Alligator mississippiensis: one gene and its partners. The protein of the gene in region 1 interacts with the protein of each later gene in a pairwise test. Links are inferred from orthologs where the notes say so. Each region holds a gene or a part of one and is shown in the gene's direction. Other genes may lie near its edges. The genes, in order: RINT1, FAM110A, CWF19L2 and DCX.

The links.
Region 2: the proteins of RINT1 (region 1) and FAM110A interact in binary tests that used the Homo sapiens proteins (3 or more experiments, as listed by UniProt). The two-hybrid records come from large-scale screens. The link is inferred for Alligator mississippiensis from reciprocal best matches to the Homo sapiens genes RINT1 and FAM110A.
Region 3: the proteins of RINT1 (region 1) and CWF19L2 interact in binary tests that used the Homo sapiens proteins (3 or more experiments, as listed by UniProt). The two-hybrid records come from large-scale screens. The link is inferred for Alligator mississippiensis from reciprocal best matches to the Homo sapiens genes RINT1 and CWF19L2.
Region 4: the proteins of RINT1 (region 1) and DCX interact in binary tests that used the Homo sapiens proteins (3 or more experiments, as listed by UniProt). The two-hybrid records come from large-scale screens. The link is inferred for Alligator mississippiensis from reciprocal best matches to the Homo sapiens genes RINT1 and DCX.

The regions. Positions count from the first base shown.
Region 1 is NC_081827.1:26,521,441-26,528,841, forward strand, and holds the start of RINT1 (RAD50-interacting protein 1), read left to right. Parts: upstream 1-4,383; 5' UTR 4,384-4,459; intron 4,460-4,501; exon of another isoform or gene 4,502-4,548; intron 4,549-4,556; exon of another isoform or gene 4,557-4,683; intron 4,684-5,745; 5' UTR 5,746-5,764; coding exon 5,765-5,941; intron 5,942-7,401. Other genes in the region: PUS7 (pseudouridylate synthase 7 homolog), read left to right, coding at 650-779, 1,022-1,113, 2,492-2,628. UniProt on the Homo sapiens protein: Involved in regulation of membrane traffic between the Golgi and the endoplasmic reticulum (ER); the function is proposed to depend on its association in the NRZ complex which is believed to play a role in SNARE assembly at the ER.
Region 2 is NC_081832.1:1,856,862-1,864,066, forward strand, and holds the start of FAM110A (protein FAM110A), read left to right. Parts: upstream 1-4,199; 5' UTR 4,200-4,499; intron 4,500-5,799; exon of another isoform or gene 5,800-5,888; intron 5,889-7,205.
Region 3 is NC_081824.1:437,556,465-437,563,647, forward strand, and holds the start of CWF19L2 (CWF19-like protein 2), read left to right. Parts: upstream 1-4,178; 5' UTR 4,179-4,227; coding exon 4,228-4,311; intron 4,312-7,183.
Region 4 is NC_081831.1:67,032,067-67,039,074, forward strand, and holds the start of DCX (neuronal migration protein doublecortin), read left to right. Parts: upstream 1-3,993; 5' UTR 3,994-4,434; intron 4,435-6,101; 5' UTR 6,102-6,128; coding exon 6,129-6,492; intron 6,493-7,008. UniProt on the Homo sapiens protein: Microtubule-associated protein required for initial steps of neuronal dispersion and cortex lamination during cerebral cortex development. May act by competing with the putative neuronal protein kinase DCLK1 in binding to a target protein.

The DNA.
Region 1 (7,401 bases):
CCTGTGAGAAGCTCTGCAGTCTGGATCCTGCAGGAATGTGGCTTGAGTTTGACATCCCTGAATTAAAGGAGGTATAAGGCTGTTAAAACATGGTTTAGCATTATTAGGGCATTAATTTAAATTTCCTTATCAATTTATTCCTGTGCTTTTAAAGTAGTTTTCCCACTTGGCTTGTTCCTGTCACTTCCAGCAACAGGAACAATTATTTCCTGTTCTTTTCTTTCCTTTTCCTTTTCTTTTTCCTTTCCTTTTTCCTTTTTTGAAATATGTGTGGTTTTGCAAACTGCTAACTTTCAGGAATTGTCCAGTAAGATGCCAAAAACCATAAGGTTTTTTAGAAGAAATAAATGTATAGTTCTCTTATTATGAGGTTTTTAACATAGATTACAGTTGTGTTTTCTTGATCAGGACTAGAAAAATATTTTAATGGAAACAGATTCTTGCATGATCACATGACTCCAGCAGGTGGGGCTTTATGAAAAAAGATATTTTACAGGAGTTGCTAACATTGTATATGCTAAATCTCTTCTGAGATCTCAAGAATTTTGAAAACAGGGGAATAATTGCTTGTAAATTAATATTTTTGAGTGTTCTGCTAAGACTAAGTTTACTTAATGTTTCATTTATTTAAAGATTCCTTTTATTGCAGTTGGTGATGCCTACAAGGAAATGCTAACTGCTGACAATCTTGATATCAACAACATGCGACACAAAATTAGAGATTACTCATTATCTGGAGCTTACAGAAAGATCATCATTCGACCTCAGAATGTCAACTGGTTAGTAGTAGTATACAGGGAAATATATTTGAAATAGTAGGATTGCAAAAATGCTAACAGGCCTTGTTCTCCTGTGCATCTACTTCATGGTTAATATTGCAGTTTGTTCACTGGCATGATATATGTGAATCTTTTATATTTTTTGCATATTATGCCCAAACTAGGGAACTGTGTGTTAAACTTATGAGTATTGAATACTTCAAAATTAAATATAAAAAGGTCTTGTCCTGTGTCTTATAAAGGGAGGTTGTTGTATATGATGATCCTAAAATCCCATTATTTAATACGGACTTGGACAAATTGGAGGAAAAACCATTACCTGTCCTTCCTAAAGGTAAGAGTAAGAATATTTCTATGGATTTTTACAGACCTGGTGTAGTATAAAGTTTGTTAGAACAGTATTGCCAACCCCAACCCTGTCAAAAATTGAAACAAACTCTTCAAAATCAAGAGATCTGAATGTGAGATGCTATTTTTGAAGGGGGGGGGCAGGGAGGGTGTTATTTGTGAAGTTGTGGGTGTGTGTGGGGACAGAGTTTGGAGACCAAGGAGGGGGGGGAGGGTCCCTGCATACCCTGGCAGGATGTGGTATACTGTAGGTCAGGAGCAAGGGGCAGCAGCGGGGCTGGGGGGGTTGTGGCTTGTGAGCAAGGAGCAGACAGACACACAGAAAGGCAGGCAGAGGCAGACGGGTTGGGTCAGGGGTTGTGCGACACAGCTGCAGGAGGCTTGTCCAGAGGCACAGGGGAGGGGTGGGAGGCTCCCCACTCCTGCATGCACCTCCAGGGGAGGCATGGGAGGCCCCTGGATTTGTGCCTGGGGCAGAGGCAGGCTACAGGCTGGGGCTCTGCACCCTGCTGCCTTAGCCCTGGGAGCCACACAATGCCACTGGTTGGGCAAGGGATGCATGGCCAGTGCATGGCTCCCAGGGCAAAGGCAGCAGAGCCCCAGCCCACAGCAGGTAGCCTGCCTCTGCCCTGGGCACAAATCTGGGGGGCACTGGCCCTCCTGCCCATGGCTCCCCTAGGGGTGCGTGAGCGGCAGTGAGTCGTGCCCCCCCCCCAACCTCTCCCAGCAGCTCTGTCCCATGACCCCTTAGGGCCCCATTCACCCCAGCCTCTAACCTGACTCCCTCCCTCACTGTGGGGGCCTTGCTTGAGTCCAGAGAAGAGCCACCTGTATGATCAAAGACTTGCAAGGCAAGCCATACAAGGAAAGACTGAGGGACCTGGGACTCTTCAGCCTGAAAAAGAGAATGCTAAGAGGGGACTTGGTAGCAGCTTACCACTACATCAGGGGACTATATCAAGGGCTTGGCGAACAACTGTTCACCAGGGCACCCTTGGGGAAAACCAGGAGTAATGGCCACAAGCTCTGGGAAGACCATTTCAGGTTTAATGCAAGGAAAAACTTTGTCACAGTCAGGGTGTCCAGACTGTGGAATAAACTCCCTCCAGAGGTGGTACAATTACTTACCCTGGAAATCTTCAGAGGAGACTGGACAGTTACCTCGCTGGGGTCACTTGACCCCAGTTGTCTTTCCTGCCTAGGGCAGGGGCCTGGACCCGATTTTGCAAGGTCCCTTCCAGCCTCCTACAATCTGTGAACCTCATGCTAAGATTACCACTTTGAGAAAATATTTAAAATAGGACAAATGATGTGATGACAGAACAGCATCAGAAATGTTTATTTGCTTCTTTCATACCTAACAGAGGGTAAATTCAGGGCCTTGAAGATGGAGTTCTCTCTTCCTCCTTCCACTTACGCTACCATGGCAATTCGAGAAGTCTTAAAAATGGACACGAGTATAAAAAACCAGACACAGCTGAATACTACGTGGCTTCGCTGAATGAATGCTGTAAAACTACATAAAGATTTTAAAATATGAATGAGTTTTCATATTTTCCTGTCCTGTGCAAACCATTGAATATTTTTAGAAGAAAAAAGTTTGTATTTTTTTAAGTTTTTTTTTTTTTTAGCTTAAGCATTTAATTCAATAATTATTTGCAATATGGGTGTTTGTAAAAAACAAAAAACAAAAAAAAACTTAATGCTTTGGCTTTCTTAATTACCTGAGCCCATAATGTACTTAAGCTCTAGCACAACTACAGTTTAAGAAGAAATGGGCTTAGGACAGCAATCTCAGATTTTTGGAAATACTAAATTGCTTTTCTCTTTATAAGTACAGAGAGCATTGAATATACTTTCATCAGTTCAGCACAGAATAAAAGTCACTGCAAGCATGCTAATGTTACAGAGAAGAATTATTAAATACAATTGAAGAATTAATATTTATTTCAGAGGAGTACATTTGAGTAGCGTTGGAATGCCAGTAGCATTTGCACTGATTGGTAAATGAATCGATTGGCAAAACTTTTAATTCCTTTTTATGTGATGTAAACAGATACAGCTATTTTTAATTATTTGAGCTCTAAATTTTATTATGAAAATATTGTGCATGTTTTCATCTCTAAGAGTACTTGTACAAAAGAACAGGTAACAAAAACAAATTAACCAAAAAGTCCAGATGAGTATTCATGAATAACAGCTAATTTCTGGGCACCAGAAATTTGGTGGGTCCATTGCTGGCAGTGGATGAGCTGGGCAAATCCAATCTCCCGGCACCAAAGGATTAAAAAGCCATTCTAACAGCAGTTCTGTTGCATTTTCGATGTTATAATTTTTAAAAAACCAACCAAACACACTTGTTTTCTGCTGCTTGAATTAATAAATTGTGTAAATAGTCCAAGTTGTTTGTGTCTTCTTTTGAGCATTGGATTTGTGTGCGAATAATACAAAAACATAAGTATCTTTTCTTGAGAGGGGGGGAAAAAAATGAACTGCCCGAAGTATCGGTGGAGATGCAGTATGTGCTTGCAGGTGGATGCCATTTTTTGTTCCTAGTATGGCTGACCCGTTCATTTCTTTAAAAAAAAACCCAAAAAAACTCTCAGCTGGTTAAAGGCGACATCCTGGGTGGGCTGGTGCCCCGACCCGCTGTGGCGGTTTGCAGAATGGTGTTCAGTAAAACAGAAAACTTCCAAAATTTTGACTCTAGTTGGGAGCAGAGGGAGATGCCTTTGGGGGCACAGAGGTGTTTCCACATCTCAGCACACACTATTGTAGCTGCTCCCAAACTTTGTGTAGACTTCTGGCTGCCCTAGAGGCGCCCTTGGGCAATGCCCACTCCTGCGTCCCGCTCTTTTTGCCTATAGCAGACATGATGGAGCAGGTTTTCTGTGGCAGAACAGCACAGCTAGGCTTCCTGTGTGAAAGCCCTGGGTTAACTCTGCTCCTCGTCAGAGCACTGAGGCCGGGCTCTTTTTGATTCAACCAAGCTGCATTAGTTGGTCTAATTAAAGATCTGGGATTTACCCGCGGAACCTCGCCTGTCACCGTCCTTAGACCAGCACAGCGCCACCCTCCACCCCTCAGCCTGTGCGCCGTCCTCGAGACCGCCTCAGGATAGCCCGGGGGCGGGAACCTGGCTGCCCCTCACTGCCCTGCGCGTTGCGGCGGGGCGGGGCCCGGCCCAACCCAACCGCGCTCTCCCATTGGCCACGGGGCGCGGGGCTGAGTGCCAGGCTCCGCCCCTCGCTGGGGGTGGGGCGAGGCGGAACTGCAATAACGGCAACAACCGCCGGAGGGGCCTCCTCGCGTGTGCGTCTCGCGCGTGGCAGGTACTCTGTTCTAGCGCTGTAGGCACGTGACCCGCGCGCTCGGGCGGCTTCGCCACCTCTCGCGGGACCTGGGGCTGTGGACGCGGCCGGTAGGGGCGGGGCTCAGGGCCCGGCGGGAGTGGCGGCGGCTGCAAGCGGAGTGGGGGGAAGCCCGGCCCGGCCTGGCCCGGCCCGGCCCGGCCCGGCCCGGCCCTGCTGCAGGTGCTGCGATGAGACTCGTCCCGGTGGGCGGCTGCTGCGCGAGTCGTGCGACCGCGGTCACTCCTCGCGGGGTTTGGGGGTGGCGCTGCTCCCACAAACGGGCCTTGCGCTGACTCGCGGCTGCCCGCAGCGACAGCGACAGCGCGGCCGGCAGCCCGCTCCGCTCCCCTGCCCTGCCCTGCCCTCCTCTCCTCTCCCTTGCGGCTGTGCCGGACTGAAGCAGCCAAAAGGCACTAAGGCAAAGACACCGCCTGCAGCGTCACGGGCCAAGCCTGTCCGCTGCTGGTGCGGTGACCAGACTAACGAGTATAAATGGTTTCTAGGTTTTTTTTCCCCCTTTTCCACGCGTTTCTTTCAAAGAAGTTTTAAGCTAATGTTCAAATGGCCGCGGGTTTCTTCAGCTGCCTGCACATATGAAATATTTGACACATTTTGCACATTTTTAATCTGGTGGTTGAGGTAGGGATGATAACCTGACCAGACAGCTCTCGCACGTGAATTTCACTGTTTTCAAAGCTGCCGAAGGTCGTTGCAGGAGTTGGACCAACATTTTCGATTATTTTTTTATATGCTAAACCAAAAATAAAATTACTTATTTACTAGATGTTTGTTGCAGCTCTTCCCAAAACAGGCTCAGGGCGGCTTACAGAAAAAATAATTTATGAAAGCAGATCACACGCGCACGCATACACTCACGCACCCCCTCACCTCCTGTATATCAACAGTATGCATAAACTCCCCAAACACAGCTCATCTTAGTAAATTGAGTAGGATTGCTTACTAAATGCCTGTCCAAAAATCAAGTAGCTTTTAGAAATATAGTGTCAGAGGAGTAAAAGCTGGTTAACTTTTCTTGCTCGTAGCTGTGTTTTGGTTCTGTGCACTCGTCAGCCGATGAGTGTGTGTGTGTGTCATACTTTGTGGATCAAAGGCCATATCCCCACAAAAACTTATGCATGTGGATAGTCTTATGGAAGCAGTATTTTCACAGAATAGTTTTGAACTGAATTTTCTCTGGCCCTATTTCACTCTGGTGGTCAGTAGTTCTGTGTTGGTGGTGGCTAACTAAATATCCTGTAATTCAGTGCTGCAGGTGAAGAAAAAATGGCGGCCATTAAAGTTGGAAGACAACTAGTCGCTAGAGATCCAGATCACTGTGATATACCCTACTATGTATCTGAATTTGTGGAAAGAGAAATTGGAAACGATCGTAATTCCCTAACAAAACTTGGCATGCTAATAGAAGAGCTCTCAGAAAACAAAAGGCAATTGGAGGAGCAGGTAAGCATTCTCACAGTTCTCAAATTCACTAATGTAGTAAAAACAGTATGACAGAAGAGCAGGGGGGAAAGCTTGCATGTGGCTGCTGCTACCCACCACACTGCGCTACCTCCGCTCCACATGCAGCCACCACCCCCCACTCTGCATATGGCTGCTGCCACCAACTCCGGCTCCATGTCTGGGTGGAAACCCTGTGCCCTCAGGTAACCCACATTTTTACAGAACCAGCACTCCCTCGTTCCCCATTTGTGCCAGATATCAGCGATTTTACTGTACGTTGCCAAACCATATATGTACTTACTGTATTTATTCAAATCCAAAACGATGCTTTCTCCCCCTGTTTAACATGGTGGGAAAAAGCCCCTCATCTTGGATTTGAGTACAGGGAGGTGGTGGCGGGGAGGCAGTTGCTGCAGCTCTGGCGCTGGCCCTGATCTGGGGTCAGCTGGAACCACAGCTACTGCTACTGCCCCTGCCCCCTAGTGTCTGCACCCTTGCCATTGCTTTCCCTGCTGCAGCACTGTGTGTGGGGGGAAGAGATTTAAGATGGAATAATTAGATTCTATATATGGAAAATTAAAACAAGTGTATACATTTTCCATATATAGAATCTAATTATTGCGGGTTGTTTTAATTATTGAGGGTTGTTTTGGATTCAGGTAAATAGTGTGTTGCAATATTTTAAGTAATGCCAGAAAAACTGCTGGTTTTTTTACATCCTTAAGTAAACAATCATGTATATTTTACTGTGGAGAGGGGAGGGGTGTGTGTATTGAGCTCCTGGGAAGGAAGGAAGGAACAAGTTAGAAGTTTCCTAAGTAAGCTAGATATTTAAAAATCAATAGCTCCTTAATTAATGAAGGAATTGGCTGAAATGATTGCATAACCACTAGCTATTGTCTTTTGAGAACTCATAGATGTTGTATGACGTCCCAGAAACTGAAAAAAGGGAAAACAGAGGATCCAAAGAATTACAGGCCAGTCAGTCTAAGTTTGATATCTGGAACAATACTAGAACATATCCTCAGGTTATTAATTTAGTAGCACCTAGAGATTAATAGGAGATAGTAGTAAGTAAGGCTTTGATACTATGTCATTCTTGTGAACTAGCTCAGCTCAGATGTGGGGTGGAAAATTTTCCAGTGTTTTATTTTTATGTGGGAAATTTTCCATTTCTAAAAATTCATTGTTTCATAAAATTCATAATTGATGCCAATACAATATTAGGCAAGCTTGGCAGTTTCAGAGTTGTAATTAATGTTTTTCAGGTGATTATCCCTAGGAAGTGTGAGAGAGAGTACATATGTGTTTTGTTGATTTGTAAACAGGAGGGTAAATACACTTGCATAATAACCGAAACCAAAAATCAAGTTATGAATTCACCTAGTTGACTGTGCAGGTCAAATCAAAACCAAAGCACAGCATATTTCATAGATTTCATAGACATTAGGGCTGGAAGG
Region 2 (7,205 bases), on another chromosome or scaffold:
CATCCCGTGCCAGCCTGGTGGCACCTGCAGGCATGCACCGCACCCGACACAGCCTCAGTTTTCCCATTTCCAAAGCTGGCAGTTCAAGCAGGCTGGGCTGGCGTGCATGGTGCTCAGGGGGCCAGCACGGGACCGGCTTTCCCAGCCCCCCCAGCTTGACAAAACGGGTCACGTTGCTGGTTAGTGACTCTGTTTGGCCCTGGGTCCTGAGCCAGGCACAGACGGGACTTGGAAGAGGGGAGCCTGTGGGGGCCGGGGTGCTGGGAACGGGGAAGGGGGTGCTGCAGGTTGCCTGCAGCTCGGGACACATTTGCATGCGATCTCCATGTGAATGGAGCAGGTCAAGTTGAAAGTTGACAGGCTTGTGCCTGGGGGTCCGGGCGGGGAGGGGCCAGGGCGTGACAAAAGGAGCCGGTCCCCAGGGGCCCGCCCGCGCCTGCCGCTCCCGGCCCCACCGCCAGCCGCTGGCGCAGCCATCTGGGGAGAGGGCACCCGCCGGGGCCCTCGCGGCCGCATTCGCCGTCACAGTCATCAAGTGGGAACAAAGGGGCGTCGGGCCCGGCCGTGGGGAAGTCCGCGCCCGGTAAATCTCCATCTGTCAGCCTCCTGCCCATGCCGGTCAGCTCGCTGCAAAGCCCAGACCTTGACCCCTGACCCCGCAAGTGTGCCTCCTGTCTGCGGGGCCGCCGGCCTCTTGCACATGCTGCTCGCCCCCGGACGTGGCTGCCTCGTCGGGACCCTGCGGCGGGTTGTCCCTGCTCGGGGGCAAGATGGAGAGAGGGGAGCAGGGACAGGAGTCACCATCCACCCACCCTGGAGGAGGCAGCAGAGATGGGGGGACACACAGGTGCGACGTCCTGGACACAGGAATAAATTGGGACAGGGACACAGCAAGAAGGGTCCTCGGGCTCCAGGGGCAGCTGGCAGGAGCCATATCAAAGCACCAAGGTCCCTGGAGATGCCCAGGCCCCAGCTCTGCGTGTGCCCGGGGTAGCCATGCCCCGGCGCCTGGAGAAGAGCTGACAGCCCCTCCTTTTCTCACAGGCCCCACGAGCAAGGCATACTCTGGACCCACTCCCACGGCACAGCCACGCCAGCTCCTTCCCTCTGCCCGCCCCGCAGGAAGGTGACGTGCAGCCCCATGCCAGCCGGGCATCAGAGTGCCCTGCATTGGATGCTCGCTCCCTGGCACACTCTGGGCCTCACCATGCAGCGTGCGGGCAGAGGGGTTCATCCAGACCAGGGCTGGAGAGGCCTGCGAGGGCGTTAATACACCTGCTGCGGTTGCAGTGAGGCTGGGCCCAGGGAGATGCATGGTGGGGATGCAGGGCACTGCTGGCAGGGATGCCCCAGCTCCTGCTGCCACGGCATGGACATAGACCACCGGGCAGCAGCTTGGGAGCCACAGCAGCCCACTGTGCAGACACTGGGTGGCTCCTATATATCTCGGTCTTAGTGCGGGGGCTGGAGACTCGGTCTGGGTTCAGAACAGGGGGGCGGAAGTCCTGGCCCTGAATTCACGGGGCTGGGACCTCTGGACGATGTTGCTCTGGCTCTGCCCAGCCCCGGCCGTGGAGTCCGAGCCTGCCTGCGGCCTCAAGCACTCACCAGCAAGGGGTTTCTGCCCCTCGGGTGGAGCCGCAGGCCAGGGATGTCCTCATGAGTCTCTTCTTTTGGGGCTAAGCCATCCCTTGCAGTCTTGGTGCTGCTGGCGCTCGGCCCCCTGATCCATTGGCAGGACATGGCCAGGGAGCTAGCGGGTAGGGGACTTGCCAGCTCCCCTCCTGCTTGGGGCTGTGCCCGCTGCCTGCCAGGCTCTCCCCTCCCTGCTCCGGGGAGCCCGGACCTCGCAGCGCCGCGTGCTAGAAGGGGCTGATTGTACTCGCCGCTCTTGTTCTGCAAGGGCAGAGCCTGCTCATTGGTGGCGTCAGCTAACGAACCTTGGCAGCGAGTCTTCCCTCGGCTGTTACAGGGAGGGGCAGGTCACGGGCTCGCTGCAGGGCTCCAACGGCTGCCTTCAGCTCCGGGAAGCGCTCGGCCTCCCCGGCGCGGGGTCTGGGAGCCCAGGGACCGGACTGCACGCAGAAGGCGGGTGGGATCGCCATGCGCTGCACTTGCCGGTCCATTTTAAAGGGGAAATGGCCCATCCCAGCTGCAAAGGGGACAGCCATCCAAGTTTGCTCTGGAGAGAGAGATGTTTGCCATCCTTTCAAGCATATCCAGGCATTAGCTGGGCTGAGCCAGGACCACGGGTGCCTGGGAGACGCCTCGTGCTCCTACTGGGTGGCAGCTTCGGCTCACCTCCCCGTCATCCCGGGGGATGTTCCCCAGAAGGGTGAGGCCTGTGAAGCTCTCCCCGTCATCCCGGGGGATGTTCCCCAGAAGGGTGAGGCCTGTGAAGCTCTCCCCGTCATCCCGGGGGATCTTCTCCAGAAGGGCGAGGCCTGCGAAGCTCTCCCAGGTGGACTGAAACGCCCTGGGGAGAAGGTGCCGACTTTCGCTGCGGAGCGTGTTGGGGCAGCTCCCAGCAGGAAGTCGCTGCCAGACAACCCGGAGCCCATCACGAGCCACCAGGCCTCACGCGTGCCCCGCTAGGATAGCCGCGGTCCCAGCCAGGTCTCCGTGCTGCCCTCCCCCTGCCCTGCCTCGCTGCTCCAGCGGAGCCAGGGTTGCATCTGCGCTGCCCGTCCAGCGCGACAGCAAATGTCCGGCTTTCACTCCCATCCCTTTCACTTCATCAACTCCCCGTCCCACTTGGCAGAGACACCACTTTCGGGGTTGTTTCCATCCCACTGCTTTGCTTTGTCAGCTGAATCGCGGACTCTGGTGCAAAGCCGGAGCAGCTGTGCGTGGCCAGGGGGCTCCTGGGGGTGCAGGGAGGGGGGTATCTTCTCTTGCAAGGCTCATGCAGCAACCACAGCCCCATGCCTGGGCTGACAGCCGGTGGGCGGCCACGACCCCCTGCTCTGTGCTGCCCAGGTTGGCCCTGCTCTCTTTAGCGCACCGTTGTGGGGTGCAGAAGACAGAGCCCCTCCCTTTAGCCAGTGCCGGGCGACAGGATCCAGCCCCATAACTCACTAGCCCTGATCCAGGGAAGGTGGAGATGCCCTTTCTCCTCCCGACTCGGTGATAATGACATCTGTGATGCCCGCCCCGGGCTCTGGGCTGTGCATGCAAGGCTGGGCAGGGAGAAACTAGGATGCCCCCCACCCCCTGCGGCCCCGTGTCGGACCCCAGCTCCAGTCACAACTGCCCAGGGGCTCTGGCACGTCCAGGACTCGCAGCAACTGCTCTTTCTGGGTCAGGAACCAGCAGCGCATGGGAAGGCGTCTCCAACCAGGGCCCTCCCCATCCCCGACAGCCCCCGGCCCTTGGAGAGGCTGCCAGGGGAAGGCATGGGGGCAGGGCTTGCAGTAATAAGGGGGCTCGTGGAGGAGCCCCAGGGGTAGCAGTGCTCCCCCACTTCACCGCCGGGTGCAAGCAGGGTCCGTGCCGGGGGGGCTCTCTTTCCCAGCACTGGAGGGGAAATGGGGCCAGGCTCTTAGGAAATCCTCCCGCCGCCTCCATTCATAAAGTCCCCTGCAGCAGTCGCCTAGCGACCTCGGCCGCGCGCCGTTCGGAGTCAGTGGGAAGGAGGCGTGAGGGCTGCGCTGCCCGGTGAGCCTGGGCCCCGACCCCCTCCCCTGGAGCCGGTCACCTGCAGACCCCCTGTCCCAGGATGGGGGTCCCCCCTGCATCCCCAGCTTGCAGCTTCTGTGTGGCAGGGGGGAAGCCAAGGGGGCAGGTCTGCATGTGGGGCTGGCCCCTGAACCCAGGGGGGTTCCTTTCCCGGTGCGCTGGGTGAGACCTGGTCCTGCCCGGTTGTGGGGCGGGGGGGGGGGCAGGCTGGGAAGTGCCCTGGAGCGGGGCTGGGCACGCTTCTTGCAGAGGCACGGCTCCTCCCTACTGGAGGCTGTGGCTGCCTTCGGGCAGAGCCCGGGGGACCCCCAGATGAGTCAAAATAGGGTTAGCTTTGCAAACAGCAGCTAAAGGAGCAGCCCCGACCTGGGAGGAATCCCCCCGGGACTTTTGGCTGTTCTCTGAAGCACAGAAGAGGGCTGGGCTTGGCAGTGCCCCGAACTGGGATCCCTGTGGGCAGTTCCAACCACACGCCAGCATGAGCAAGTGTGTCCAGGTGATGAGCATTAGCCAGCGCAGCTGCAAGGCATTCCCATCACCCAGGGCATGAAGCAGGGGAGGCAACAGGGAGGCTCCAAGGAGGACCATCTGTTTTGTGGTGCCCTGGTCAGTCAGCTCACTGTGTGGCGCCTTGTCCCAAACCGCAGGAAGCCCAGCTCCCCCGGCCAGGTCTGAAGGATAAAAGAGTTGGAAGGAGCCAGCGTATGATTTCCCCGAGCTGAGCAGCACCTCGAGCTTGGGAGCCCAGCTGGGGTTTGCACCTCATCCCCAACAAAACCCTCTGCTCGGTTGCATTCGTGCAGTCGCACGGTGCTGGGTCGGTAAGTGCTTTGCCAATCCTGACCGCCATGCTCGCAAGAACACGAAGTCTTGGTCTTTGTTGCACTCGGGGAGGCAGCTCTAGAGGCCCGGAGAGAGCCGTGTTGGCGGAGGCGAGTGTCTCTGTACCCCTGTTTCAGGCTCGGGCACTGATCTTTCACACCAGATCCATCCAGCTGGATTAGCTGTGCCTGAAGGGCATCCCGGAGGTGGATGGGTTGTGCAGGAACCAGGAGATTCCCGGTGATGAGTCAGCAGGGAAGTCACCCCATTGTCTGGATGCAGCTGAAAAGCCCCCAAATCTCAGCACAAAATGAGTCAAGGAGGGGCTGCATCATAAAGATAATCCCTGTGGGTGGGTGGTTATTGCAGGGCGTGTTTGATCCCTCCACAGCTCTTGCTTCATAACCTTATCAGGCCCTTGCTGGGCTCTGAAGTGGCAGCCGGGTTCAGGTGACTGGGAGCCGGGGCTCGCACCTCGGCGGAGCCTATTGTTTCGGTGGAGACGGTGCTTTGCAGGGGAGGCGAGGGGGGTGGGGGTCACAAGTCTGTGAAATGGGTGGGGGGAAAAGCTGAGGGGTGCCCTAAAAGCAGAGGTCGCCCCCACCGCGTGCTCTCAGCTGTGCCCCAGGGCTGGTTGAGGAATAGCTGTTGCATCCTGGACTTGCCATCCAGCACAGGGCACCAGGGCAAGGGACCCAGTCCTGATGCGGTGGGTGCGTGAGGGTTGCCTTGTATTCGCTGGCCTCCCAGACCGTGTTGGCAGTGCCTTCGGTGCCAAGCCTGGGAGCCCAGTCAGGGCAGAGCAGATTGTGCCCTATAGAAGTGGGGGGCAGGGGCACCTACCTACCTGCCTGCCCGCCCCAGAGGCAGGGGGCAAGGCCCACGCCCCGGCCCTGGAGGCCAGACTGCCTCTCTCCCTGCACGTCCATGCCCCCAGTGTCTTGCAGCAGATGGGGGTAGGGCCGGGGCAGTGTTGTGTGCTCAGAGCCAGCTTCTGCATGACGGTGCACAGTGACTCCCCCGTCTCCATCTGTCCATCCGTCCATCATGCCGCCTGCCCTGGATGTCTATGCGGGGGCCTGGCCAGCTGTATCCAGGCCCCTGGGGAGAAGGGGACGAGGGCAACAGGGCCAGGCTGGCAGGCCCCCTCCTTGCCCAGGGGCCCTTGCCCTCCCATGCAGCAGCTGGGAGCTCTCTGGGTGCCAGCCCATTGCTCTGCCTTGCTGGGTGCTGGCTCCTGCCTCTGGCCCTGCCCTACCTGGCCGGGAAGGTGTTCCCTGTTTGAGTCTAAACAGGAAGTGGTGCAAGCAGGTGGGCCAGCCCTTCCCGGCTGCAGGGAAGCAGGGAGCTCCCGGGAGCAGCTGCTGGAGCAAGGGGGAGGCCACGGGGTGAGTGACCTGCCATCTGCCTGCCCCTTCCCCTTCCCCCGGCCTAGGGTCCATGCCAGACTGCGGAGGGGGCTCAGGCGGGCAGCACTGAGAGGCTGCCGGCCGGCCTCTCTGCCGGCCCCTTTGCCGGCTCGGGTGCAAACATCAGGGTTCAGAGTGCGAGGGCAGCAGGGCACAGAGCGGGGGGCCGGGGCCCGGGAATCCCCTGGCTCCGCTGCAAGGGCAGAGGCAGCCCCGGAGGGCGCGGGGGCAGCTGGGGTGGGAAGGGACAACCCGCAGCGGGGATGGTCCAGGATGAAGCAACCTGCTGACGTTAGGAGCCTGCTGAATGTGAAAGCAACCTGACTTCCCCAGCACTGGGGGCCTGCGGGGAAGGAGAGCGACTGCGTGGAGGGGGCAGAGCAACCTGGGAGGACGGGGGTACCGGAGCAGCGACCGGCTGCCTGGGGTCTGGCTTGCACTGGCTGAGCGCGGTCGCGGTCCCCTGGACCCCTCGGCAGGCTGGGGCTTGTGGGGTCTGCCTCCAGCGCTCTCCCGGGGTGAGCACACGGACACCTCCTCCCTGTCGGAGCTCCTCCGGGTGCCAGCTCCGCACGCTGCTCCCCGCACCCGTCTCGTGCCGGCGGACGGCAGCTCTTTGTGGCACCTTGAACCTCGTCTTCCCGCCCACGGGGCGAGCTCTCCCCGGGCATCAGGTCCGACCGGTTGGGAGGCCTCTACCAGGCATCTGGGAAGGGGTGGCAGGGGCGGCGGGGGTGTGGAGAGGCGTGTGCCTGGGTGCAGCCCGGCGCCCTTGGCGGGCAGGTTGGGGCAAACCTCCCCACTGCCAGGGGCTGTTAGCAGCGTGCCACGTCTTCTGGAGAGCCCCGTCTTGCCCTCAGCGGGACAGGGTGGGTGCTGGGGTACCAGTAGCCAAAGCTACAGACATTTCTGCTTCAAGAGAGGGGACACTGGGGGCAGGTGGCACGGCCTCCCCCTGCTCCCCCCAGCCACTCGGTGACTTGCAGGGAGTGTCTGGAGCTTTGCACAGACCTTGGGGCACCCACCTGAGATCCTCCCGGGGATCCTCCAGCCCTGGCCTGTGGGATGGGAGCAGGGGGCTAAAGGGCTTGGGGGGAAGCCACCAGCCCTGGGATAAGGGTGCATGTCTCAAGCAGGCTGTGAGCCCCGGGGGCAGGTCCAAGGGGGTCCCGGCAGCTGGTTTGAAGTCCCCCTTTCCCGAGGATGAAGGAGGGGAGGGCAGGCTGGGCCCCTGGTGGCGGGTGCAGCCAGCTCCGCATGTCTGGGGGTGGCCGGCACCTGCAGGGCAGGGCACGG
Region 3 (7,183 bases), on another chromosome or scaffold:
TGGGGAATAGACATGACTTAATGGAACAGGAGCTGGGTGGTGTGGCTCAAGAGATAACCCTGCCCTGCAGTAGTCGCATAACAAGGGCTTTAAGGTTTAAACCACTGAAGGTGTTAATGTGTGGACCATCAAAGGGGCTAGGAGATCCAGGAGCCACCCAAATTTACCGTGTAATAAGGCCCCAACAGGGCTAGTTAAGGCTCCTGGCTCCAGTCAGTTTATCTGAGTTAGAGTTTAGATCAGTGTTAATTTTGTCCCATTTATCTACTGTTTTAGCACAACAAAAAGCTTGTGGCCACATTCAGGCTTTTTGTTCCATAAAAAAACTGATAGATGTACCCCAAAAATGCTGCAGGCAGCTGGAGCTTTTAGGCCGCTGGAAACCAAAGGCTACCAAGGGTCCCTGGTCCCAGTCAGCTGTTGCAATGGAGGCTGCCCTGGGGACAGAGGGAGCTATGGAGCTATGCCATATTGTCCTCTGGCTGAAGAATGTGCCTTTGCGACAATTTTTTCTTGTTCCAGCAAAGGGACTGTGCATGTGTGCCTGCCCACGGCACTGTATTCTTTGTAGTGCTACCAGCTTTGTAACACTACAGAAATGTCTGCCTTAGTCCCAAATGGCCAAGATTATTGCTTATATCTCATCGTGGTATTGGCAGCTACTAAGTGTTACAGGAACCTGCAGATCTTTCAGGTCCAGTGGAGTACAGCAGAAAGGAAGGGGAAGGAAGGGAAAAGGAAAGGCAAAGGCAAGGGAAGGAGAGGAGAGGAGAGGAAAGTTTTGTTGGGGAAGATGATGGGAACTAGGCTAGTAAATATAAGAGAAAAAGAGCTGACCATGAATGGACATTAGAAACCACAAGCCTTTTCTGAGGTAGCAGTAAAAACAGAAATTGCTGTTATTGTACCCACTTGATTCAGGTTTTTTTTCCTGCTCATAAAAAGGAACAACCTGTTCAAAAAACAAAATACTGAAAAATTGTCACTTTATATGCAATATATATGTATGTGTTTCAAAGAGATTTGTCACAAAACATTTATGACAAACATTAGTAAATGTCACTAGAGAATGACATGAAATGAAAACTCTGGGTACAAACAATCCTGAAGTTTGAGGAAAATGGATTTAGTTCCAAACTTTGTCTCTTAGGTGTCTTAACTATAGCTAACAATACCATTTGAGTTCTCAGTAGCTAAGCAAATTAACAAAATACTTATTGCCTAGTGTTAGACAACACATGGTTTGATATTAAATATGGAACAATAGATGGATCTTCATTAGATTTACAGCAGTCTGCTTTTTCATTTTTATTGAAAACTAAACTCTTATTTGCAAGAGGCTTTCTATGTCATCAGTGTTAAACAGTCTGTTTGGTTGCTGAAGTTTGGTGCCAAGGACTCTTTTTGACTAAAAAAAAGTAAAATATGCTATTGAACAACTCAGACCTTCACCCAGCTCAGTGGAGCTGACCGCTCCATTGTCAGATGGTATATTATCATTTTTGTGGCACTTAATTTTATATACACCCACCTTTTCTTTCTTTGAAGGAAACTTAGTAAAACTTTTATTGAAGAAAAATGCCCTTCTCTGTGATTATATCATCTGCTTTTTTCTATAATTTCTCATGAGATTGACTTTTTTACTTTCACCAGCCACAGAAAATTCCTGTCCGAAGCTGAGCTATCATTTTCTCTCAGACACACAAGTAACACACTGACAAAGGGAGTGTATTAAAAATAAACAAATTAAGAACTGAATTAGATTCAGTCCATTTTAGCCTCCATGCACCTAACTCTCTAGCCACCTTGTTGCCTTTGATGTTTCTTTTATGTTATTGTTTCAGAATAGGTTGCTGATTCAGATAAAAAACTCCCACAGCAACATGCAGGATTTACCCAAATGGACTATCAGCTATCATCTGTGGCAAACAAATTTTGTTTTTTCAAAGGGAGAGCATTTTCTTTTTCTGGTGAAACTTTATTCTCTACTTGAAGTAAATGGTACAGAATCAAACTTCCTGGAAACATATATTTTTTTTCTTTTTTTCACAATTCTATGGAACAAAAAAAATCACAAAATGCACTAAAAGAAAGTGGTAGCAGTGAAGGTTATAAGATAACTTACCATGGGAATCACCACTTGACTATGCAGCTCGTTTTAAGAGAACAGAGAGATACTCTTCAAACTGAGATATGGTGCACAAAGGTATCTCCCTGGTGGAGACAAGGTATGGATGCATATAGGTTTTCATTTATTAACTTGTTGTTTTCTGCAAGGAGTTTACAGAGCTAGGGTGGTTTGCTGGTCATCAAGGTAACTTGCAGCAGATCTTAAAAATACTACGCTCTTCTTGTTTTCTTTTTAATGTATAAAAGTAGGAAAGGTTGGAAGCTTTTTTATTTTTGACCTTTCTCTGGTTTTACTGAACATGTCTCAAGAATGCTGACAAGCCAAAATACAGTTGACAGGTTTAATTTTCTATCCGTCTCCCTTGAGAAAATTCCTTTCTCATTTCCTTCCCTTCTTTCAGAATAATCTGAGAGAGAGTTCACGATGTCAGTCTGAAGTCAGGAAGAAAGTTGTTGCAGGTCTGTGGCCTTACAGACCAGTAGTATAACTAGGGAGTGGAACACCTGCCTCAGGTGCTCACTTACAGAGGACACCAGAATACCCCTTTTGAGAGTCTTTGTTACAGCAGCCTGGCCCAGTCCCAGGGCATTTTTACACATGTAAGTGCTGCAGTTGTGACACATGTAGTTGTATTAGCAGTGAAACGTGCATCAGTGCCGAGAAAATGATGGTGACGTGCTTTTGAACTAAAACACATTGGAGATGCTTTAGTTCATAAGCCCACTGCCACCATTTTCTACACGCTGATGTACATTTTGCAACTTACACAACCGCACACAGTGTGGCGCAGCGTGCCTCAGCTCGCGTGCGGAGCAGACTCAATTAATTGAGTCTGCTCCAAAGCGGTGAATGTCCAGCGTATTGTGGGACAAAAAAGTATGTGTATAAATGCCCATAGAAGTCAGGCAGCCCTGAGCTCAGTAGTATACAGGGGCAGGGGTTGAGTGGAATGGTGCTCTCCCAACGCCTCACCCTGCCAGGATTTTTGCCATGGGAAGTGCAGGGCCCAGTTGTGTATGGGGAGTAGAAGCAAATAAGGTGAGGGAGCCCATGCAGCGGGGTTGTTGCTGCTGAACACTGCCTGCTGCCTGTAAACCAAGGCCACATGCTGCGGACTGCTAGAGCAGGAGTCAGTAATATTTTTAGGCAGAACACCAAAAAACGCCCAGAAGCTCAACTTGTACAATGCCGGTGTGCCAGGGGAGTATGGCAGGAGAGCCACAAGGGGCCCAATCCTTGCTGTGGCAGTGCAGCCCTGGCCTTTTCCCCACTGCCCACCCTGAGGCGGGCATGCCTTCCTGTGCCGTGCCCTGGCACCCTGCCCCAGAGCTAGAGCGATAAGGGGAACCATGGCTGGCAGGGGGTGGGGAACGACAACGACACACACGGCTGACAGGGTGACTGCTGGACAGCCCTGGAGCTGTTGCTTATGAAAGTTTATTGATCTCCAATTCATCTGTCCCACGCGACTTGACCCGCCTTCAGAATGCTGATTGCATCTACGGACCCCTCTGAGAAATCCTACGAAATACAAGCTTTCGTTTCCACCCAGCAGAACTTTTACCATCTTTTCTCCAAAGCCGATGAAGGGTGTTTGTGCCCCAAAGCTTGCAAATAAAGGTTTTGTTTGGTTTTTTTTGCAAAAATCTTGTTGCTCTAATAAAAGAGATCACCTCTGCCCACGAGCCCTGATTACCTCTTCCCTTCTGGCACCTGGCAAACCTACATTTTAAGACCTTTACAGGACCCTACACAAATAGCACTGGGAGGGACCTCCCGGGGTCGAGGCAGGATCATCGCTGACCAAAGCACCCAACCCACAGCCAGCGCTCAGCGCTCTCTGTCTAACGTGCTGGGGGAAAATTTCAATATCCACAGCAGGGACTCGAACCCGCGATTCTGACTGCAGCCTTACGAGGCTCTCGAGTCCCAGTAGAACTCGCTCCGGCGTGGTGCGGGACCTGGGTGTCACTTCCGCCCGGCTGCTGGAGGACCTTGACCCCCCCCCTCCCCGCCCGAGCGGCGCCTGTTGCGACACTTTCCCAGCAGTGCCGTATTACAGCCCGGCCTGGCGGTGCTTTCCGGCAGCCCCGGGGATGGCGTCCGGGTTTGAAAGCGAGCGGAGCCTGGCGGCGCGGAGGGAGCAGCGGCGGTGGGATCGCGAGTCGCTGCTGCTGCAGGTGATGCACGCGGGTCCCCCGGCACGGGGCCTGGGGCCGGCGGCCGGACGTGGAGGGCCCTGCCCTGCCTGTCCAAAGCGGGGCGCTGGGCCCTGGCTGCTGTCCCCTCGTCCGCTGGCCTGCGAGGGGCGGACCCGTGGAAGGGGGGTTTATTTTTGTGGGCTGAGACCTCCTAGCTGCGGGCGGCGCCATGTGAAGGGCACGGCCCTCCCTGCCCCAGCCTCTGCGATGGCACAGTGTTCACGCTGGACAGACTTCAATTCCTTGTTTCACCCGCACTGGGGACATGAAAAATGTGCTTTATGAATGACAGCTGAGCCGGGAGGAGTGTGTGATAAGTCTTCGTCTTGGGGAGACGGTTTAACAAGTGGTGCTGCCGGCAGGGCCCTCCTTCCCACGGCTTTCTGGTGTGATCCTTCTTATAGGTTGTGTATACAAATTTTTCAAAGTGCTTTTTTTGTTGTGCATAACCTGCAAGTCTTAGATAATGCTGTATTTTGCTCATGTGTGCAAACACCTTTCCTTTAAAAACAAACAAAATAAAAACCGGTCCTGGAAATCAGGGTGTGCATGATATGTCAGGAAATACAGTAGCAGTAGTTTCTACTGCTTGACCCCTTGTAGGGAGAGGGGAATGGGGAGAAAGTAAGGCTGCATGTTCTGTGCAGGGAACGGTCGCAAGGAGTATGCAGGGCTCCCAGCTGCTCTCTGGTTTGCCCGTTACACCATTCACGGTGTACCCCAGAGCTCCAAGGTTCTCCCTTCCATCTTGCTGCTTGTCCTGAGGAACCAAACAAAGCTTGCTCTGGGATAACTCCTTGTTCCAGCAAACCTCAGCTCCACTGCCCCAGCCTGGACCTCACACCTGCAGCAGCGGAATCTTGGGCAGCCCCACGTGGCCTCCCCTGTGCTTTGTGTAACAACTTTTAGGCCGCCCCTTTCCATAGAATGAGCGAGCCTAAAATATCTCTTGCCCAGAGACTGCTCTCTTCCACAGGCAGAGAGTAAGGTGTGCAAAACAGCAAAAGGCTTTATTATAGTAAGATAGAATTGTACAAGAAAAACTGACTATAGGCCTGGAGATGGAACAAAAAGACCAGTAAAGAGATTCTTGCTGTGTTATCTGGTTATATGCTAGTCTTCCTGAGACTACTGCTAGTGTTTTTAGGGATCAGCCTCCCTGCTGATACTACCAGCCGTGACTGCTGGGGTCCTGGACTCCTCTCCAGCCTGGAAAAAATCCAAAGACCTTGGCTACCTTATAAACACCCTTGCCCACTGCCCTCCTGTTCCCATCAGCATGGTCTCAGTTTTTCTTGGGTCTCCAGAATCCTCCAGAAACTTCTCTTTCAGGGACATCTGACTTTCCTCTGGGTGATGGGTGTTTTCTCACAGATGCCTTTGCTAGAGAGGAGAAGATTTCCCCATTACAGGCAGGCAGTTCCTTGAGTTCCCAACCCAATGATGTCTCCAGCCTGTCTGGGATTCCTTAAGTATGCACCCCTCCGTTCTTTGAGATGTCCAGAAACACAAAGATGTATACAGACATCATAACACCATCTATACAGTAAGAAAAGTGACATAAGTAGATATAGCATAACATGGCCTTCCCAGTGAAACCTCACATTCTGTATCAGTGAAATAAATATAAGAAAACATTCACAACTCCTTACAAACTCCCCAGACCACCGTGGGGGTTTGTGCCATTCTGTTTACTTTGGTGGTTCTCAACCAGAGAGCTACTACCACCACAGCCAAGTGCAGTTATCCTATGTACCTCGTGTAGACCCAGACCAGGCAGGGATGTGGCAAAAGCATGCACTCCTGGATGCATTTCAATTATCTTATGAGCCTAAAACAGATAGAAATGCTCTTGCCACAGCCCTCCCTATTCTCCACCTGCCCCCCTTGATCTCTTTTGGAAACAGAGGTACACAGGACAGTTCCATCTGTCCACTGTGCCTCTGTTTCCAGGAGATACAGTCTGGGGTTGGACTGGAAAGAGCTGTGACAGGAGCAGGCTCATCTGTCTCCTTGAGGCTAATCAGATAACGTTGATGTAGGCAGGAGTGCAGCTTGTTTTGAAGCCCTTCCTGATTTGGCTGTGCACAAGGTTTGTGGGGCAGTTCTGTCTGGCCATTGTGGGAACACTTGCACCACAGCATCCTTGAAAGGGTCTCGTGGCACTATTGCCCTAAGAACCAGGGGGCATCTGGTTCTTCTCTCAAATGGAGAGAGAGCAAACAGTAGGATAGATATTGCCTTAAAGTGTGCTTCAGTTTTCTCCAAATGAAAACCTATATGTTCCCTCCAACCAAGGACCCAGTTATCTATTTATTTTTCTCCAAATTAGAACCCATTTATTTTCTTAATAAATTCGTTTTATTGAGCCTTACAAGTTATTAACTACAAGCATGCATATAGATATAATCTTAGCAGTTTCAGTAATATTAACAAGATACAATCTTAGCAAGCAAGTAATTATATATTACTAGTCCTAATACACACATCCAGTGCTGGCCAGGTGTCTCAAAGTGGGCTCTGGTTCCTTGAAGGGAGATCAGATGTCTTCAGTTTTTAGGCATTGTTAGGGTGAGGTGAAGGGAAAGGGTAGGAGAGGAGGAGAAGGAAAAAGGGGAGGAGAGAGAGGGGAAGGGAAAGGGGGGTAATATTTATAGTCCTTTGGTCTCATAGCTACCAGTTAGGCCAGTTTCCTGTTTTTCTTCAACAACTTGGGGTTTGTCTTCACTTTATCATTGTTTTTCCCCTTCTTCCTGGTACCAGGAGCCATTTCCTTCAGATGTAGCTGGAGTGTGCCATAACAAACCCTTTTATCCATCACAAAAACTTTTATCAGCAGACTCTTGCAGAA
Region 4 (7,008 bases), on another chromosome or scaffold:
TGAAAAATGGCTGTTCTGGAAATACATCCATTGTGACCTTACTGGGACTAACAGATCATATATCACAGAGTGCAGGTCAGCTAGAAACATACTGACAATTTCTGCAGGGGTCTGCAAGTCTCCCGGGGCAGAGCCAGAGAAAGCGATGGAGACTTCTATGTGATTGTGCAAGCTTTACAAGCCCACCTTTCCAGGGTTTAAAGGGAAATGCAATGCTCTTAGCTACTGCAAAATTGCTAGAACTCTGCTTATGTAACTCAATACTTTGCCCTTCTGGGTTTTGGGGACATTTATTTATTTGGTGCAGGGAATTCATTTTCATGTGAGAAGGATCACTGGGATTTGGAAAAGGTGGCTGTTTTGCCTTCTGTAGTGGGGAATGAAGGACCAGAGCACAGTCTAGTGGGATAGGCATTCCTCTTCTGGGCTGAGATTGCTTATTTTAATCTTTATTCACATTTGGATATGATGTAATGATGGGCTTGTTTTCAGTGAGTGAGTTAGTAAACCACTTCAAGTATTGTTTCCCGCGCTAATAACCTATAGATAGCATGAGTTTGAACTCACAATGGGATTCCTATTATTCCATCAGAGGACAGTGAGGTTTGCTTCCTTTCCCCAGAGTGCTGTGGGAGTTTAGCTGCCAGACACCCTAATCATCCCCAGAGAGCATGGAGGATCTCTGGGAGTTGCTGAAGATTGGGATGAACTGTAGAGAAGTCCCACATCCCCTCAGGCACCTTCTAGCCCATCCAGCCCACTTGTACGAGTGCTTCCAAGTGAGCTGACCTGGCTGTGGCTTCATTTACCAGATGCTGCTCCTATAAAGCATATGGGAGGAGATAACCCACCCTTCAGAGAACGCTCTTACCCTCAAGTTGTTCCAGTTTTGTGAACTCATGGCCTGACCAACCTCCACAGAGAGTTACTGGGGTTTGGAGGATTGGTGATACAATGGTTCCTCCCTTCCCTCCCAGGCAGGCAGGATGACGTGGCTCTGTAATGTTGGGGTTTACATGATATTCAGATGTGTGTGGTTCCTATTAAAATAAATCTCAAAAGGAAACAAATGTTATATTGTGAAAGCCTGCCAATTCCAGATCATGTATGAGCTCAGAGTGTTGTGCAGAGAGGCTTTACTCTATAGACCTTTATAAGAACAGTTCCTGGAGGCGCACACCAATCGCACTAATGACTCCTGATACATGTGATATATGGTTAAGGCTTTCAAAAATGACTGTTGGCTTTGTAGATCTGTTTCTGGGTGCTTATTGTGAGCCTCATTAGAAAGTCACAAAGTGCTGAGGACTCCCACCCCTGGAGAGCAGGCTCCTTCAAGATGTCTTATATTAGACTCCAAAAAACTGAAGCTCCCCAAATCACTTGCCATTTCTGAAAGCCTTGACTTTAAAATTCTTGTAAAAAAAATTGTTAAGAGGGGAGCTCAAGTTTGATTTTTTTTCCCCACAGCAGAGAAGGGGTTGTAAATGAAAATTAATGGAACAGATGTGCCTAAGGACCCAAGACTGCTTTGAAAAGACTTCTCTTGAAAGCAAATTAGCAGCTAGAATTTTAGCTATGCTATCACAGAATCCTCACCAGAGCAGTCAGACCTCAGCTAGTTATCATGTACACGGGATGCTGACTGCAAAATGCATCACCCCATCAGGAAGGGTTTCTGGAATAAGGATGCTGCATGGCAGATTTGTGACACAGGAATTGGAAGAGCCAGTGATGTCAGTCAGGGTTTTCGGTGCACCGGGGTTAGGTACATAGCAGCAAATCGCCTTTAACTGGCAGACTCTCTCCATGCTTTCAGAAAGTATCATGATAACTCCAAGATGGAATAAAGCTGCCACTAGGGACTGAACTGCCTTGCCAGGCAGATTTAATTACACAGGGAAAAGACCAAATGTTTTCTACTTTAGGTAAAGATAATTCACCTAATTTAGAACAGGTAATTTAATCTGGGGGCCTAAATTTAACCTTCCTTTTCACATAAATAAAATTATTGATGGGACGATAAGAGATGTATTCCCGATTTCTCAATCACTTATCCTGCCTAAAGTGATTTAGACAGGGGATTGGTTGTCCTCCTAATATAACCTACTTTATATCAGGAGTAACTGTACTGGGGTCAAAGGAAGTATAAATAGCCAGGATCAGCAATCTGTGTACCTCACAGGCTGGATCCAGCCTGTGAAGAGATTGGATCTGGCCCACAAAGGTGAGGTCTTCAGCACACAGCGGTGGAGGCTGGGGAGCACCTTTTCTGTCCTGGGTCATGCATTTCTCTAATGCATCCTGCCAATAGCATCCGCTGCGTCTGGTCTTCCTGCTCTGTGCGGAGGCGCCTTCCATCACCCTGCAATGCCCCACACCACCACATATGTGGCACCACATCAGTGTCGGAGATGGGAAATGATAATAGCTGGTAGGTGAGGATGAGGATAAGTCGAGTAGAGAGAAGGGAGGGCTGGGGTGTGAGGTCGCAAGAGGCAGCCTGCAATTAAAGGTTGCTGACCCCTGACATTAGTATGTGACAAATCTAGGTGGGCCATGTCCACGGATTCCCCAAAGTGTGCTAGAAATGGCTCTCCTTCACATATTGCATTTGGTTGCCCCCAGCTGTCTGTAGTGTCGGATTCAGTGCTCGTTAGCGTTGGGGTAATATGGAGTAATTCACAGTTACTCTGGATTCATGTTATTGTAAGTCACAAAAGAAACTGGTTTGAAAGAGTCTTCATCATCGCTGACACTGGGGCTACTGACTTATCTTCTTTCTCTGATAGTGGCTGGATGAAAGAGGAACTAATATAGAGGAAGTGCCTCAGGCATCTTTCCAATCGTTTGAGGGACAAGGCGGGATGAGTGCTGTGATCATCAGCTAGAGAAATTGTATCTCTGTCAATGGCAAGTGCATAGGATCATGCTGGAGTCAATAGTGATTCTACTTTATTTTTCATTTATTTCAAAAGAAGGGCCTGTCCATGTGCTCTGTACCAGAGGTGTGATCACTGTATTGTATTTTATCTTCTCATTGCTTACACGCAAAAAAAAAGCCATGAGCTGTCCATTGATGCTGTGCTATCTCCCATCAGAATACTTTCCACAAATGGCAAATGATGGTTTGGAGGGTTAAGAGATAACCTTTTCCATTAGGTGTCAGGGTGGAGCTTACAGAAGTTACAGTAAAACAAACAAGAGCACCTTTTGATCCATTTGTTTAAACACTTTCTGTGCCCTTTCAGGATAGATGCAACTGAAATACATATCGCCCAGAGAGACTTCATCTGTGTCACTTCTGTTGTTTTAAAAACGTATTTGTACAAAGCGGGTACTGATACAATGTACCAGGCTGCCAACTCTGGAGAGTGACCTCCTATACCCCTATAATACACTTGGTTTGAAAAGACCTCCTCAGGGGTGACAGGATCATGCTGTTTCTATGGCCCAATCTATCCTGGACCAGATGGAGACCAATAGCAACAGGGGTGTGAATTATGGTGGGTTTTTTGCAGTGTATAACTCACAGGGATCACCACCTCCTTCCAAAGAGCAACCAGAAAATGTGAATGGCTTTCAGATGTTTGGCTTCGATGACAGAAATGTAAAGAATCAGCTGTTGTGAAATGTCTGTTGCTGGAATGAGAAAATTATCCTCTTCTAGCTTTGGATTTGACCCAGAATCAAATCTATTGGGCCCAATTTGGATCCAGTTACTCAACTCTGTGCCCCTGGGAAATTTAAGAGAAAGGGGGTTCAGGCCCATCCCAAAAATATTAACAAAGAAAAATTATGATAAGGTGCAGCACTGCAGAGCCACAGTGTCAAATTCTCCTTTCCTTTACAGCCACAGAAACCATGATGAATTTGATGAGCTGTTCATGAGAAAAGAGCTGGGCCGCTTCGCCTCCCCGCGCACATTTATTCACTTTCTTGTGATATGCTGGACATTCAAGTCAAAACTGGTTGCATGCTACAGAGTGAAAGCTCTTCCCCCCTGCAGCTGTAGTCCTTTAACACTGCCGCATACATCTAATTACTCCCTGCCTGCTCCCTCCAAACTGGGGCCAGATGCTGCTGGGGTGATTAGATCAGCTGAAGTCAGTGGGACTTTTGCTTCCAGTAAGCAGTGAGCAATGACTTTGGGACTGCCCCCTTAACTCTTCTTGCTTAGCTATAAATGCAGGCAGAACTGGAATGAAGCTGTTCTTCTCTGTGACAACACAGCCAAGGAGATTTTAAACCAAGGATCAGTCACTCAAAAACCACTGAGGCAGAGTTTTCTGATGAGGGGCGCACAAGGCACTAGGACCTAGGAGAAGTCTCATCCACCCTGGCAGGAATTTCTTGCTTGGAGCTCAGACAACAAAGGCAGAGGGAGCTTGGTTTTCTTTCTCTCAGCATCTCCACCCTGCGAGCTGAAAACCGGTGAGTAGAGCTTTTATGAGTGACTTCTATGCAGAAAGAAACAGATGTCAGATACAAAAGGGAAACAAGAAACCTTCTTTTAAGTGTGTCACAGCATCTGCAGCTTCCAAAAAAAATCCTGGAAAAACCTCCCATTCATTTGGAAAGTTGCTTGAATATTCCACTGCATTATGCATGCCATGAAAGCACATGTATCATAATTGGCACTGAGAGGGGAAATGTTTGCAACTCGGGATTTATGTGAAAATTGCTGGCATTACCCATTGCTGCTCTGCTGCATGTTAGAGACAATAATGAGATCTTGGACAGGTCACGGTGACATTGTAAAATACAGAAAATGGGACCTGTTCTGGCAAATCTGATGGGTGGGGAAAGAGAGCAACAGCTTTTTCTAGGATTGGGAGCTGATCGCTGAGCCACTAGATTTTAATCCCATTTCTGTCTGGTGTGAACACACTGCTAACGTATGTGAGGTGCATGTTAAATAGTTTTTGCCCAGTGGAGTGACAGCCTTGGAAGGTTTTCTGTATTGCAAGTCTAGGGGGAGTCTTTTGGTTTTATTGCATTTTTGTTTCTTTGGTACTAAGTTTCATTTAAAGAAAATACAAATATCGCCCATCCTTGGTTTTGATCTCTGGCTCAGTGCAATTTTCCCCAGAGGGCTGCCTTTCTTGGGTTCCAGTCTCTCTCTTTCTCTCCCTCCCTGTAATACACCACAGCTCAGAACAATGAAAGGTGTGCTTGCAGTGGCATGATGTGAATATTTGCACAAGGATAGTTTCCACAATGAAATCACTTCCTTAAGGATGGGAAGGTTTGGGTAAAAAAAAAAAAAGAAAAAGAAAGATAAAAGAAATACCCCATTTTATTTTCTTTTTTTCCCCTTCTGATTAAATAGGACCAGAACTAAATCCAGGACAGATTTGTGAACTGACAATAGCTCATCGAAACCTCATAGCAATGACAGATTTTTCAGACATTTTTTTTCTTGGAAATGTAGGATGGTCTCAGAAATTGATTGATGGGCTGAGAGGGGGGCTGGGAAGTGGGGGAGGGAGTGCTGTATCTGATTGCTAGCCCTTATTGACCAGCCTGTCACAAAGAAAATGGCTATTCCCCTGTGACCATTCTTTCAGAAATACCAGTTTTGTCCTCATTTGAAATATTCAGACACATTAGGTCCTTCTGCGATTCCACAGATTGAAACCTAACTCAGAGGGATCTGCTCATTCTCTGCAGCCAAAGGAAATCTTGCAAGGCTCAAGGGTTTAATTCATTACCAACCGTTGTTGTTTGGACAGGATTTGGGAGTTCTGCTTATCATTTCCCTGCAGTTATCCAGCCCAAAGTCTCATTTTACTGCACTTGGAAACAGCAAGGAACTTCAGTGTGCAAAGTCTAAGCTGCTATTCAAAAATATATCCCCTCCCCCATAATTGGATCCTTTTTAAAAAGCCCAAGATCCCTCCCTCTTTCCCCCCACCCCCTAGAATCAATACAAATTTAGGTGAGGGTGAGCAGGATACAGGTCACTCTTAAAATAAACCAATTCTGCTCTCAAAAAACAAAAGCCCAGGCATGGAGTGCATGTAATTTCTCCCAGATTTTGGTTTTGATCAGTCTAATATATTGTTCATATTCTTTCCTCCTCATTTCCCTCCACTCAGCTTCAGATCTTTAGGGGTCACCAAACTATGGAACTTGATTTTGGACACTTTGACGAAAGAGATAAGGCGTCCAGAAACATGCGAGGCTCACGTATGAATGGCTTGCCCAGCCCCACTCATAGTGCTCACTGTAGCTTCTACCGAACCAGGACCTTACAGGCACTGAGTAATGAGAAGAAAGCAAAGAAGGTGCGTTTCTATCGCAACGGGGACCGCTACTTCAAGGGGATTGTATATGCTGTGTCCTCTGACCGCTTCCGAAGCTTCGACGCTTTGCTGGCTGACCTGACCAGGTCCCTGTCTGATAACATAAACCTGCCTCAGGGAGTTCGTTACATCTACACCATTGATGGAGCCAGAAAGATCGGGAGCATGGATGAACTGGAAGAAGGTAATTAGCAATGTCCGACGGTTGAGTTACGGTCAGGTGAGGAGGTGGGGGAGAACTATGTAGCACTGTTTGGTTGTGACTCGACAGTCACATTTCTTCTGTGGCCAATAGATGACACTATACTATTGTCTGTATTGTGGAGTTGTAATTCATTGAATGGGCAGCCAGAGCTTTGGGGAAGTGACTGAAAAGCATTTTAGAAATAAAATAAACTATGCAAATACAAAAATGAGGCATTGTGATAGAAAGTGTGTATGAGTGCGTGTGTGGGAAGGGGTTCTGCATACCTGTACTTGAGGCACGTAAATATACAGGCATTTCTGGGTAGGGGTGTTTCAATGGATATGGTCAGAGGTGTGCATGTCTGTGTGCCTGCAGTTGCAGGTGTAGTGCACGGTATACTTGGGGGTGACTGTGTGTTTGAGGGGACTGCACAGTATATCTGTGAGTGTGTATGGGAGTAATTTTTGGGCACACTGTATCTGTATGTGGATGTGTGTGAGTAGCATAGGGGTT